Lytechinus pictus: one gene and its partner. The protein of the gene in region 1 purifies or fractionates together with the protein of each later gene. This does not show direct contact. Links are inferred from orthologs where the notes say so. Each region holds a gene or a part of one and is shown on either strand. Other genes may lie near its edges.

Region 1 (6,942 bases):
AATCTTCCACAGAACTTTGAAAATCTAAGTCAAAGTCACCTTTTACACCAATGAAATGCAATTCTACAGTCTATATTACGAAAATCTGGTGTACCCTGATTATTTGCAAGTATTAAGAAGAGGAATTATGACCTCTCTTTTGACTCAAAAAGACCGATTTCCACATGAATTAATACACATAAAAACACATAGGCAAGTACATCACAGTCCCACGTGTGCATTTGTATGTATGTTGATACTTGGTTTCTTTCGAAGCTGTGTATTTTCTAGCCTTAAACAAACAGACAGTTTCTTTCTTTCTTGTTTATAAATGACTTCTTAAACCACTCTTGAGAAAGTAAATACTTTGGGAAGGCATTTCATTGATATGAAATGTGATTTTTTTTCCAACATTTTGGCAAATATAGGGAAGGACTTTTCTCACACTTTTTTTCCAGATATAGTTTTTGCCGTTTTTTTTTTTTCTTTCATTTTTTTTTGACAGTGGTTAAACCATTTATACCCCTTCCCATTGAATATGCCTGATTAAAAAATATGTTTCTACTGAAAATAAAATAATACAAACTAAAGGATATAAAAATAGAAATGTGCCATTCCCAAAAGGTAAGTGAAAATTATATACTTGGCTTTTAATTATATTCCAGTCAGAATAGACTGTTGCCACAGCTATCAAAAATATATGTAATGGCTTCTTAATTTTCCCCTTTTCCCCATTTTTATATTAACTTTGTTTTATTAATTTTTCTTTCATTTTCTTTTCTTTTTTCTCTCTAATTTTATTCTTTTCTTTTTTTCTTTTTTTCCCTGTTCTTTCTTTTTTTCCCTGTTCTTCGTTTTTTCTTTCTTCGTTTTCTTTCTTTTGTTTTATTTCACTAATTTCTTTTATTATTTTTGTTTTCTTTTTGTTATATACTTTTTGAAAATTATTTTCGTTTGTTTCTCCCTTTTATGCATTGTTCTAATTTTGCAGCATATTTTTCTGTGATTTTCTCCTTCTATAATATGCTGCAAAAGAGAAAACAGAAATAAACTGGATTTGGGGCATGCATATAATCTAGGTTTTAGGATTCAAAGAGGAAGGAAGGAAAAACCATTGTTTTGTACATCTATCTGAGTTTGCTATGCACTATTTATTTACTTTACCATTATCTCTATACAGAGATTTTAAAAAAAGTCCACACAACCTGCGAACAATACAATTCATTTATTCACTTTCAATCATTTCATTTTTACAACGATAGAGACAATTACCAATTAGCAAAGTAAAATAACAGCAAACAAGGTTTACATACAAGATGTATAAAGTGAAAGGAACTTAGTGGTAGTGGCTGCAGAATTAATTGTTTTATTCATTTTTAATGTTTTTCTTTATATTTTTCGGGCCACCAAACTTTAATATTGGGCCACCAAAAAAAATTATTTGATGGTTTTGGTGGCCCGAATGGGCCACCACCAAAAAAAGTTAATGTGGAGCCTTGATATAGTACTTTCCAATGATTAGAATTTTCAACTTTCAATAGCTTGTAATGCTCAGTAGGTTATCCATCTCTCGGATGAGGGGGAGGCAAGGGTAAAATTTTTTTTTTTTTTTTTTTTTTGAGGGGGGCGATAGTTCTGTGCACCAAATTATAATAAAGAATTTTGAATAAGGAGCGCACAGAAAAAAATAAAATTTTGTATGTTTGATAATATTTCCATGTCAGGTTTAATGTTTCATAAAGTGCTTTTCTTTCATGCTTTTTAAATTTTGCATTGCATAATTTATTATTTCAAAATTATTGGGGACAAAGAGATGTTTGCCCCCAATAATTTCATGGGTTGATCGACCCCTGCCCCCACCACAATCGATCGAGTCCTCCGTCTCCTGTAATAATTTCGTACCCATGCTGTCTGAAATAATCCATTCTTAATTGCAACAATCACCCCTTCCCACGTCTGGCTCTAGTCTAACTTTTAAGTTTTCTTTAGCCATACATTTTCAAAGTCTTTATATCCTCAAAATAATAAAATATTATAAAAATAGCTCATCAGTGATTTTGCTGTTTTCTCAACTTTTCTCACAGAAAACACACACTCGGTAAATACGATACTATTTTCAAGTGAATAAAATATTTCACTTCTTTGACTAGGAGTAGGACTAGTAGGAGGGGTGTGATTGGGAGCCGAGCGATATCGTAGGGGGACGTTGACAAAAAAAATCGCCAAGATTTTTACAAAAAATCTTGGCGAAACCTTTTTACACATTTATTTGTGTAAGTCTAGACCTCTAGTCTAGACCTAGATCTTTATGGTAAAACGTAAAAGTTTGATGAATTTTATGCGAATATTGTGTTCGATATGATTGAATTCATGAAGTGTTTGGTAATACGATAACGGATAAGTACCATACGATCAAATTAAATCCTTGGCAAGGCCTTTTTTGGCTTAATTTTCATTGTCAAATTATTCAAATCATTGTCAAATTATTCAAACGACAAATGAAACATTTTTCTATTAAAATCCTCCACAAAACTGATATGGCATAAAATCTACATTTTGTAGTCTACAGTCTTACTAGACCTGGTAACTGTAAATGAATTGGAGAGTGATGTGCACTTTGTAGAGTGAAGCGGCGCACTGTCGCTTCCTGCAAAATTCCAGATAGCATACGGTACTCATGTATGTAAATACGCAAAGCCAAAGCTACGGTACCGTACAGAACCCGGTACCCTATACGGTACCGTGGCCGTATACGGTATTTACTACACAAGAAGAGTCATGCGAATTCAGACGCGACATCTTCGGTATATTTGAGCAACTAGCTCGTCAAAATCTCTAGTGTCCAGCAACATATGACAATGAATTTTGAGAATTTTCAATAAACTAAATATCTTAGGTACAGGATTAATCTAATATAATGTATATGCTTATGATAAAATGCGTTAAATATTGTGATTTAAGGGCACGTGGGATAACTAACCCATTTCGAGTGAGATTCATGCACGTAAAAAGGCCGAAAATGGTCAATTGTCTATCGTTGAGGGCGCGCGAAAATTAATGCTTTGGACATTGTTTGCATGGATATTATAAATTTGATTTTTAGATGCAGACAGGGGCCTAAGGGCCTTCAGTCCCTCCGCCCCACACATTTTTTTTCCAAACCGTGTATAAAAACATAAGAATTACCATCTGATTTTTTTTTTTTTTTGCATTGTCACCCCCCCCCCCCTTCAAAACTCCGCGGCCCGCCCCTGGCAAAGGGGCAGAGGTGCATGGTGCATTTTAGGATTATGTAGGGCCTACCAAAAGTCAGGAAATATTTTCCAGCCTATATATCTAGGCCTGTAAGTCCTGCCAAATTGACATAGCTATATCCCGGGGGGGCCACTTCCATTCACGAATGGATACCATGCGCGACCATGGGGTCTCGAAAAGCACCCTAAACACGTAATTTCCATATTCTGAAAATGCACCCCTTAACAAGTATTGGCGTGTGAAACCCTACCCTTAACAAGTATTGGAAACAAGACGACACTCTTGGCAAATATTCCCTGAAATGAACCCCTAAACAAGTACAGGAATGTTTTATTGTTACGGGTCCTTCGGTCGTCGGCTTTACCTTATTTGGTTTAGTACGACCCCACCTTCTACACATGGGCGGAAATCCCAGGGGGGACAGGGGGGACGTGTCCCCCCTACTCAAAATAGTAGGGGGGACACAATATCAAATGTCCCCCTACTTTTTTTTGTCTTTTATGATGGTAAGAACTATATCATTCTAAATCGAAATAAAACATGTATTTTGGGACGAGTTGGGACGAGATGACCGCCGTACTTTTGGGATGATAACCTTTTTTTTCCTTGTCAAATTTTCCCGCCCGTTGTCCCCATAGGCGGATCCAGGGGGGCCAAGGCCCCCCCCCCCCTATTGGCGGAGCAAAAAAAAGAAAAAAAGGGAAAGAAAGAAGGAAAAAGGGAAAAGAGAGGAGAAAAGAATAAAAGGACGACGCGTGCATAAAATAAGATGAGGGGAAGACTTGGAAAAAAAAAAGAATCTTTCGTGGCACTATATAAAATTTTCGCTCGCGCTTCGCGCTCGCATTGCCTGTTAGGTGATTTACAATTAATCTTGTTCAATATGGAGCTCAAATATCAAGTTTGGAAGTCAATATACAGAACATGTTTCACCTCGGAAATCGAACTTTCATTATTTTGTGTGATTTACAAATTGATTTTAAAAAGTGTCTGTAAAAATGTCACTTTTATGGTCTGAATAATTTTATCAACATTTGCTGCTTGCTCGCAAATTTTGATTTATCAGGTACCTATTATTTTCGTGTATTCCATAAAGTTTTCAAGATATCCCTTTTCAGGTCTGATTGTCAAGACGTATCAGCTAGCGCTGCACGCTGGCATTTTGATTGGCGAGTTATGTATGTTTCAATATTGATAATACAACAAACTACTTAAAATCCCCTTTTCATGACAGTTTATAAAAAAAGTTAGCCCTCATTAGGCATTAATAAATATATTAATTTAATAATTAAATTGTCCCTTTTGTTTTATCTCGCGCTTAGCAAGAGGAATAGGAAGATAGTCATCAGTTTCATGACATGTTTCTGTTTCTGTTTGTGGTAAACTCCCGTAGGAACTCGGCAGGACAGCATTTTTTGCTGGTAAACGCCAAGCTGGTATATAACCAATTACCTTGGAAACATTTTACGTCTAGGTTAATCAGTCATAGTGGCTGACGTACAGATATCCACTCTTGGGCCTTTTTATCAAAGTGGAGACTATGACAGAGTTGGGATTCAAACTCACAACCTTGCGATTATGAGTCCAATGCTCTAACCACTGGACCACACGACCCTGACATGTCGTAAGGATGTCCCGGTCCTATGTCAAAACTCAAAGTACATGAAGTAATAATAATGAAAATTTTAGCTCTTTTTTTTAAAGTGCGATCCATATCCACCTTACAATTTTCCTACAAAGTGCTTGAAATATAAAGCTGTAATTGACTCTTTTTTCAGATCGGAATATTAAAGTTTCATGATCAAAGATGTATTTAGAATGCCTAGATTCTAGGTCTAAATATGAAACACGCGCGCGCATGTTTATTCAAATACTCAACTTGTTCTCTATTTAAATCATTATCCAGTTTCAGATCACAATATCAAAAATTTTCTGCTCGCGCTTTGTGCTCGCATTATTAATGTAGGAAGCCCGGGGTAGGAAGACCCCCTATTACTCATCCTTTTTATGATTTACAAAACATTGATTTTGATTGATTTATTTTATTTAAACACGGTAAAAAGCCCTCGATCAGCCTCGATATCACCCTCGATATGGCTGTTTACAAAACATGAACAGAGTGGCCCATTTTTAGGTCTAAATCTCGATTTTTTTTTCTGCTCGCGCTTCGCGCTCGCATCAATTGTTGAATTATCATGATTATATAGCTATCCTGTTCACGATTACAAAAATTGATTAAAATTTTCAATTCTTTCTTTACAAATTTTCAAAAATTTTCAGCTCGCGCTTCGCGCTCGCATTTTTTGATTGTTGAAATATGTAACACCTTCATGGCTAAGTGCAAGCAGTCCTTAACAGGTATCTTTTCAACAGGTACCAGTTCAAAACGTATATAAAAATTTTCTGCTCGCGCTTTGCGCTCGCATTATTAATACTCATCCTTTTCATGATTTACAAAACATGAATAGAGTGTCTCGTTCAGTAAATATTATAGGACTAAATCTCGAAATTTTCCGCTCGCGCTTCGCGCTCGCATCAATTGTCTACTTATATACCTATTCTGCTTGAGTACAAAAAGTGCTTAGAATTTCCATTCTTTAGGTGAAAATGTCACCAAAAAAAATAACGCGCTCGCATTATTTGATTGTTAAATGCTAACTGCACGCAGTCTTTAACAGGTATCTTTTCCATCAGTTCATTTCTGCTCGCGCTTTGCGTTTGTAGTAATTATTAAGTTGCATACACATCTTTTCAGGATAACAAACATTGCCCAGAATGTTCAAATTTTAGGAAAAAATACATAACATTTCCTAAAAATTAGCTCGCGTTTCGCGCTCGCATCATATTAATAAGGATTATGATATTATATATAATAATAATAATAATAATATAGGGTATTTATATTGCGCACATATCCACCTTGTTAGGTGCTCAAGGCGCTCCTATATTACCCGGCTAAGAATTTATAAATTAAGAAATTATGAAAATAAAGCTAAGAAGTGACTAATGAGGACTACCCCTTCAAAGAAACAAACACAAATCATCTTCGAGCTGCCGATCGGGAAAATGTGGCTGAAACAAATTTCCGCCCCCCCCCCCCTATAGGCGAAGGCTGGATCCGCCCCTGTGTCCCCCCTACCTTTTGGGAGAGATTTCCGCCCCTGCTTCTACACCTCGCGCAAATCGGACTCTAAACACGAAGTGTTGGGGCAAAATGGACATCCTTTATAAAACATTTTAATTTTGTTTTATCATTCCCGCAAATTCGACCCTAAACACGTAATTTTCCTGGCGAAATAGACACCCTTTTTTCATTATTTTTGTGTTTTTGACACCCTTATCACGTTACGTACGTAACGTGCCCTATCGTGAAAAGGACATCCTTTTTACGTGTTTTTTTGGTCGCGCATGGTATCCACTCGTCAATGTAAGTGCCCCCCCCCCCCGGCATGGGCGGAAATCCCAGGGGGGACAGGGGGGACGTGTCCCCCCTACTCAAAATAGTAGGGGGGACACAATATCAAATGTCCCCCCTACTATTTTTGGTCTTTTATGATGGTAAGAAATACATCATTATAAATCGAAATAACACATGTATTTTGGGACGAGATGAACTTACTTTGACGATGATAACCATTTTTTTTGCTTGCCAAATTTTCCCGCCCCTTGTCCCCATAGGCGGATCTAGGGTGATTTACATATCTTGTT
Region 2 (7,703 bases), about 37 Mb from region 1:
TGTAATTTGTACTAAGGATCCCATGCTTACTTAATTCTTCTGTTTCAGCAACTGAATTGATGGTTGGAGACCAGGCTGGAACACCAGCCTACCAGCAATATCCTTCTCAAGTACAAGTAAGTACTCTTTGTAAGGACCCCTGTTAAGTTGAATCGTTTTTAAGTTAATTGCTAAATATGCAACTCATATGCTGTTATAAAATTTAAGCATCAAAACATTTTGTGTAGATTATTGAATAATTTTTGAAAGGATATTTCAACTTGCCACCCCATAAAAAGAGCTATCTCATTCTGGCAGTGATGTCAATTCACCAGTTGTTAGCTAAATAAAGGGAATGAAGCTTTGCTAGAACGGACTAGCTATTCGTAGTCTCATTGAAAAGGTGCAATGTCAGACATGCTGTAGCATCACCAGGGAAAGAAAGGCAATGGACAGGTATTGTATGAAAGCATTTAATTCTATTTTAAGCGTGTGCTGAACTATGGAAAGTGACATACCGGTACTATTGTCTATTGTAAATTATTAGCGATGGTGACTTGGATTAGCAGTTGATGGCATGGTCAAGATGAGTGCTGAAGCTCTTTTGAAGAGGCGGAGCTTAGGAAGTTTAAAGAATATTCTTTCAAAATGTATGCCAATGGTAAATTAGATAACCCTTTTCACAGAGATCACCCAGGCAAGAAACTAGTTCTCCCTGATGGAATTGTTCTTGTCTGGCTCTTCTGCAATTGTGTCCAAAAAATAATAAATAAATAAATAAATCAGTTCCTGTTTTTTTTTATGTCACAGAAGAAACAAAAAGTATGTGTCATTTGCCTTTGCATTTCAGCAGGATGTTACCTTGTTGCACCCAAAATGTTTCATTCGCATTGATTCTAGGATGAGATAGTGCCTGAAATTTACACTCTCGTTATCACATCCTTTGACCATGCTCAAGTTACTCTTAGTTATTTCTAATCAATTTAAAAGGGATATTATTATAATAGTAAGCAGTTCCATGAGAGAATCCTTATTGTCCCTTATTGTTTATTCCAAGTGAGAGATTTATTAACGTTTTGCAATTTACATGCAAAAGAAGGTCAGTTCAATTATCATGTAAATATTTCATTTTCTTAAGGAAATCTGCATGTGTGTATATTCTTTTCCAGATACCGATGACCTTTACGTGATCTTTGTTTGGTGGTGTGCTGCCAATTTGATCATCATCACAAGTCAGACCAACACCTTGAATGCAGTTAGCTGTCAGATCTAGATTCCTGAAGGGCATCTTTATGCACAGGAGTCATACCCAGATTTGTTTTATTGCAAACATGGATTAGCATGCACAGGAGAGAACTCTTCAGGAGTTGCATGATTAGGTTTTTAGTTATGAGAATTATACAACTTTGATGCGCACATGAAATGAAAGCACTTGTGAGAGATGTCTTGTATAAAAGTAACCCTCCTTTTGGCTGTTTATGTTAACTTGGTTTCCCCCTCTGCACCCCCCAGCTCAAAGCTGTTTTGATCTGTATGCAATAAAAATGTGTTTTTACACTTTCCATAGTAGGTTTTCTGTGGATTTTGATTTAATTTCTCACTAACAAATTATTTCCCTTTTGAGTTACAACTCCTTTTATTGTTTCAACAATGATACATAACTCAGATTTATTGTAAATTTTTGGCTTTATGTCATATTTATCTCATCATTTATTTATGGGTTATTCATCCTATTTTTTATATCTCTTTGTTAAAATCAAATTTATATTTTACATGAGAATATGAAATTTGAATATAAATTTCAGTATGAATATGAGGGAATACCCTGCAGAACAGAATCATGCTTAAGTTACACAATTTCAAATGCTTTGATTAAATCACGATGAATGAATTAATTTCCCATTTCTAACATAAGGGGAATTGACTCTACTTAAATACTTAAAAGTAGAGATTGATTGATTGATTTGGTTAACTCAGTTTTCAAGGCCTTTACACCTGAATTGTAACCTTCAGCCATCAAGAGGTAATTGCTGGAGGCATTGTATTTTTAGATCACCTTTTGTCCATTCATTTTAGAATAATTGAATAAGTTTGATGGATCAATTTTAAATTCAAGTGACGTGTTAATTTGGCAGCGAGGATGATTTAACAAGATTTTAGGCTCGTGAGATCAAAGGTAAACAATAGCAGGTCATTATACACCTAAAAATATCTTGTTCTCACAGTAACAGAAAAATCATTAGATGGATAAACTTCACATATATAGATTTGAGTGCGAAGATTGGTCAAAAGTTCAGTCATGGGTCATAGACCCCTCCCCCTCCAAAAAAAGTTTGAAAAGCTTTGCCTGGAAAAGCCCAGTCATTATATGCTATGTAAGGTCCCATTCGCATAAAATTTAAAACTCTTGTTTGATGCAATGAACCAAAGAATAACACCTGGCTGTTCAGTCTCTGAAGTACTGGGTGGTGTTTAAGATGTTCGACTCTATGAAGGACTGGAACATATTCTCAGGTGATTTAGTCAGCTGCATAGGGATAAATCGTTTGACACATTGTAGGATCACCAGTTGTGCATAAAGTCATGTGTAAGTTACAAACAGTTATATGAAATCGCTCCCTGGATGTGCTGATTTTAGAAGAGAATGTAATGTGACCAAGAGTGGAAAATCATGACCTATATATATAATCAGGGTTCCCACAGTCATGGAAAATCCTGGAAATTTTTTTGTTCATTGAAAGTCAGGGAAAAGTCAGGGAATTTGGAAAATTTGTGAAAAGTCATGGAATCGCATTTACCTCTTGGCTATGGCAGCTTTCCAGTTTGTCGTTATTCGTAACTCTCATACTCTGCTATTATAATTGGTATTCATGATTTCCATTTTTCCCAGTTTTGTGACATCCCAAATTCTACATAACTCCCAGAACGTCACAGGAAGTCATGGAAAGCAGCAATTTAGTCATGGTAAAGTCATGGAATTGGTGTTTTCAAATTTTTGTGGGAACCCTGATAATGATTATATTATCAAAGGAGATGGGACAACTCTTTCAAAGTTAACATTTTCTTATGAATTTTCATTGTAATCCACACTCTGTATGAAGATGAAAATAGGGTGAGAAAAAAAATGGACCAACATTTCACAAAGATTGTAATTAGTAGTTGGAATTACAATGCATATTTATGATACTGAAATTGTGGCATTTGATTGGTGAAGAGTAAGTTTGTGATAAATTTGGTATGCATCACTGAAGATAACAAAAGAAACAATGCCCTGATGGGAAGACCTGTTGTTGATCATTTATTTTGTTTATCCTGTAAAGTGTAAAATTTTCTTGGCATTCCTGTTGTTTGTAATGTTTTGCTGCTTACACATGAAATGAAATTTTAATTAGAAAATAATGATGTATATATTGTAAATGGTTGTTCTCAAGTGTATTTGTATGTGTTTCACAACTTGGACATGGTTAATTTTTAAGGACCAGGGGCCTGTCTTACTAAGAGTTGCGATTGATCTGATCAATCGCAACTATGGAAAGCCAGAAAAGTCAACATCTAAAGTACATTTTCAAAATATTTTCTAGAAATGACATATGTTCATACATTCACTGTTTTTTCTTGACAATTCAGTATGCTTCTCTCTGTTTTCAAAGGACAATGAGCCAATTTCGTGAAAATAAAATATGAAATTAATGGATTTCCATATACTTGAGATTGATCGGATCAATCGTAACTCTTTGTAAGACAGGGCCATCGTGGGTTTGTGTATAGTTGTGTGGGAGAGAGAAGGGGAACGAGAACTTAGCGGAATGCTATATGGGTCTAGGAAGATTGGTAATTGTGTGAGAGGGTGTGTGCAGAAGGGGAAAATACTGCCAGGGGGACTGGAAAGCGGGGAGCAGATGCAGTTGCCCCTCTCTCCAAAATCCCCCACAATAATGATATTTATTTATCATATAGTCAAACCTGTTGAATGAGACAAGAAAAGCAGTCTTTGTGGAAAGACTCCCATAATGTGTAAAGTTCTTCAAGGAAAACCAAATTTGTGGTCTTAAAAATAGCCAGGTGATCCTTCTATATAGGCAGTTGCTGAAGCAGGTTTGACTGTGCGTTATCATAACTTAATAAAAAAATCATTCAACATATTACCTTTCATTGTAAAGCATAGAATATTCTCTTTCCTCTGGTGTAACTTCTTATTCACGCATTTAGTGAAAGCAATTTGAAAAAGAAAGGATACCAAAAGGCTTTTGGTAGGTGGTATATGAATTTCAAAAAAGAAAATCACAAGTCTCAAAAGTTAAATATCTGGTTTTTAATAAAGGACAAGTCCACCCCAACAAAATTTGATTTGAATAAAAAGAGAAAAATCCAACAAGCATAACGCTGAAAATGTCATTGAAATCGGATGTAAAATAAGAAAGTTATGACATTTTTAAAATATGGACATCCTGGTCGGTATGCAAATGAGGGAACTGATGACATCACTCGCTCACTATTTCTGTTTTATTTTATGAAATATCCTAATTTTCTCCCCATTGTCATTTGAAACAAATTTTTATTTCTCCCTGAACATGTGGAATTACCATTGTTTTTTTACATTTTATGGTTCAGTCAAGTTTGTCCTTGATGTCAAATCTGTATAAAAATTGAAATCTTGTATAATTCTTTGCCACTGATCTATAGAGCTAGAGGGGAGATAGATGTTCATTGCACGCCGCTGATCTGAGCGAAAACTCGCTACAGTTAAACTGCACTGAGTCTTGAACATAGAATAAGTAAAAAATTAAATATACTCGCTAGCGCTAGCGCGCGCGGTACGGGTATTGGTACACGTGCAAAATGGCGAAAACATCGCACAGACCCGGTCCTTTAAAACAGCAAAATAAAGGCCACAAAACTGGACGACATCGTAGTAAAGGCAAAATCGACGTTGAATTAAAGGGTAAGTTACTTTTATAACTTTCTTTGATGTGTCGCTCTTCCAGGAAAATCCTTTTACTCGGTGATTTGATATTTCCGGTTGAAGACTTCATCGTTGTTCCCTTACTAGCCCTAGTCCCACACGTACAGATTAATGTGGTGCCGGTACCGATTAGTCGAAGATTTCTAATAGTAATACCTAGGCCCTAATTATTTTAAGAACGTAACTTTACTAATGTAACAAATTTTTATATCAATTCCCGATCCGATTTTTCCATTTTTCTTAAATTTGTTTCGATCTCTGATTTTTTATGTCTGCATCTGGATAAAATGAAAAAGATCGGTTTTAAATTTAAGTTAACAATAACAACATGGAGTCATGTCATGACTCAGTCATTGTTAACTTTTAGTTTTAGTTTTATGGCTTATGCAAAAACATTAATTATTACAGAAATACAGTGGCCCAGTGGGTGATTTCAAGTACGGCGCGGTGTTGAAATCTGGGGGGCGTTTCATGAAAGGACTTGTCGGACGTTTTATCCGACAAGTCTCATTTTATCCGACAGTTACCGTCCATAGGAACAGTGCCTCTCACTCTCAGTCTCAGCTAGCCAGGCGGCTTCTAGAGAGTAAAAATCATTTACTAACGTAGCGTAAGGTCACTCTCATACGAAGCCAGGGCTTCCGTCATATACTTTTGCGTGTACCACCAAAAAACCTGAAACTTTCGCCCCCGAAATTTCTACTTTCTTTCTAAAAGATCTAGCCCTAAATCATGTTGTACATGGGATAAAACTTCATTTCCGACATTTCTATGCTCTCGTTGTTATTTTTTAACAAGAATTCATCAAAAAAATGAGAGAAATATTGTGTAAAGACGGAAGAGACTCGCCCGATGTTTACGCCGCCATCTTGTTTTCTATTGTTCTTCCCCAACGTTACCCGACGCACGCGTCTGTAACGTTGGCGAAGAACAAATCAATAGAAAACAAGATGGCGGCGTAAACATCGGGCGAGTCTCTTCCGTCTTTACACAATATTTCTCTCATTTTTTTGATGAATTCTTGTTAAAAAATAACAACGAGAGCGTAGAAATGTCAGAAATGAAGTTTTATCCCATGTACATGATTTAGCAGTAGAGGCGCACGGCCAATATGGGAGACTCTCTCCAATAGAATAGGGGAGACAATCTCCCACATTGGAGACTTGCTTTGCAAAAGGACAAAAGAAACAACACCAACAAAAGCATGATTTTTTCCACCCAAAATTTTGTCTCACTGAGGTCAGAAGCCCATTTGTTTTGTGTGTGATTGACAACAAAAATCCTTATCAAAACAAAAGTAGACAGTGAATATTTAAAGTAGACGGTGAAAAGAGGTAATTTTTCATGAGGAATCTGCTTATCACATTTTTATTTGCCGCCAAGGTAATCCTTTTGCAGCAAATGTAAACAAAGGAAATTGGACTCCAAAACTGGAGACTGTCTCTGAAATTGGATACCCAAATTCTTTACAAAAGTCTCTGATATTGGAGATAATCTCTCACATTGGAGACAGTCTCCAATATTGGCCGTGCGCCTCTACTGTTTAGGGCTAGATCTTTTAGAAAGAAAGTAGAAATCTCGGGGGTGAAAGTTTCAGGTTTTGGCTTCCATTGTGTGGGTCTATGGGATAGAAGGCCTGGCTTCATGAGAGTGACCTTACGTTAGTAAATGATTTTTACTCTCTAGAAGCCGCCTGGCTACTCTCAGCCAATCAAAATCATGGAAAGATGTCAGAATGATGTCAGATCTGACAACTTGTCGGATAAAAATATTGATGAAACGCTCCCCTGGTGTTGGTGTTGTGACAATACCAGCCACAACACTGTACTTGAAATCAGGCTGGTGTTGGGATTGACCTCGGAATATATGACATATTTCCGGCAGTTCGTGTTGAAGGATGGTGCGTGAAGTTGAGATGATTTAGCAGCGCAGAGGCGTGACGTCATGTGCTATCGACAACGCAATCAGTATCGTTCCTCTGAACCCAGCTCGGTGTTGGAGCTCGGTTCAGCGGCCTTTTTACGCTCTCAACACCAAAACCAACACTGAACACCGTACTTGAAATCACCCATTAACATCATTTTTTTTCTCATATAAAAAAAAGTATAAAAAAATGAAAAAGCATGTGTAGGTATGTTGCAAAAAAATAAATTTGAGAAATCGGGTGTTTGCTTCATAGCATCATTTAGAGCTCATCAAGACCTTTCATTTAATACCTCATTTCAATAGCCCCAGTAACAAGAAAGTTAAAACTTTGGTAGTTTTTTAAGTTCGCACAAATCGCCTCTTCAATTCTTATGTATTCCTTTGTTTTTGAAAAACAAAAGTTGTGACCTTAATTGGGACCAAGGTGCACTAATAATAGAAAACAACAATGCGCATACATTGGTATATGGAAGTGCCCAACAACAGTCAACAAAAATCACAGACATCGCCGAAACGGACATAAAAAACACACTTAGCGTCAGTAGATTTCTTTCAAATTTCACCACAATGTACGGTAGTTGAAATGTTGTTCTATTGGAATGAATACCTTTTAGAGTGGGATGATACCTGTAAATATGAATAGCAAGAAGTTGAAAGCAAGACCAAAGTTCCATTAGCACACAGAGTTGCAAGATCACCGAGTGAGGTTTTTTTTTTCAAGTCTGGACAGCTGCCATAAATATTCAACTACGTAAAATCAATGATGTCATTGGGAATAACCTTTCCTTGCACATGTAAACACCCCGGGGGGGGGGGGGGGCACTTCCATTGACGA

What was found. Proteins that work in one complex are often made in the same cells at the same time.
Region 2: the proteins of small ribosomal subunit protein uS12 (region 1) and pre-rRNA-processing protein TSR1 homolog fractionate together in Homo sapiens (co-fractionation; 3 studies listed by BioGRID and IntAct, with this or other methods). This does not show direct contact. The link is inferred for Lytechinus pictus from reciprocal best matches to the Homo sapiens genes RPS23 and TSR1.

Annotation. Positions count from the first base shown.
Region 1 is NC_087247.1:9,442,248-9,449,189, reverse strand, and holds the start of small ribosomal subunit protein uS12, read right to left. Parts: upstream 3,022-6,942; 5' UTR 2,964-3,021; coding exon 2,960-2,963; intron 1-2,959. UniProt on the Homo sapiens protein: Component of the ribosome, a large ribonucleoprotein complex responsible for the synthesis of proteins in the cell.
Region 2 is NC_087247.1:46,017,625-46,025,327, reverse strand, and holds the start of pre-rRNA-processing protein TSR1 homolog, read left to right. Parts: upstream 1-4,685; 5' UTR 4,686-4,818; coding exon 4,819-4,921; intron 4,922-7,703. Other genes in the region: nuclear transcription factor Y subunit beta-like, read left to right, coding at 49-116, 1,149-1,169. UniProt on the Homo sapiens protein: Required during maturation of the 40S ribosomal subunit in the nucleolus.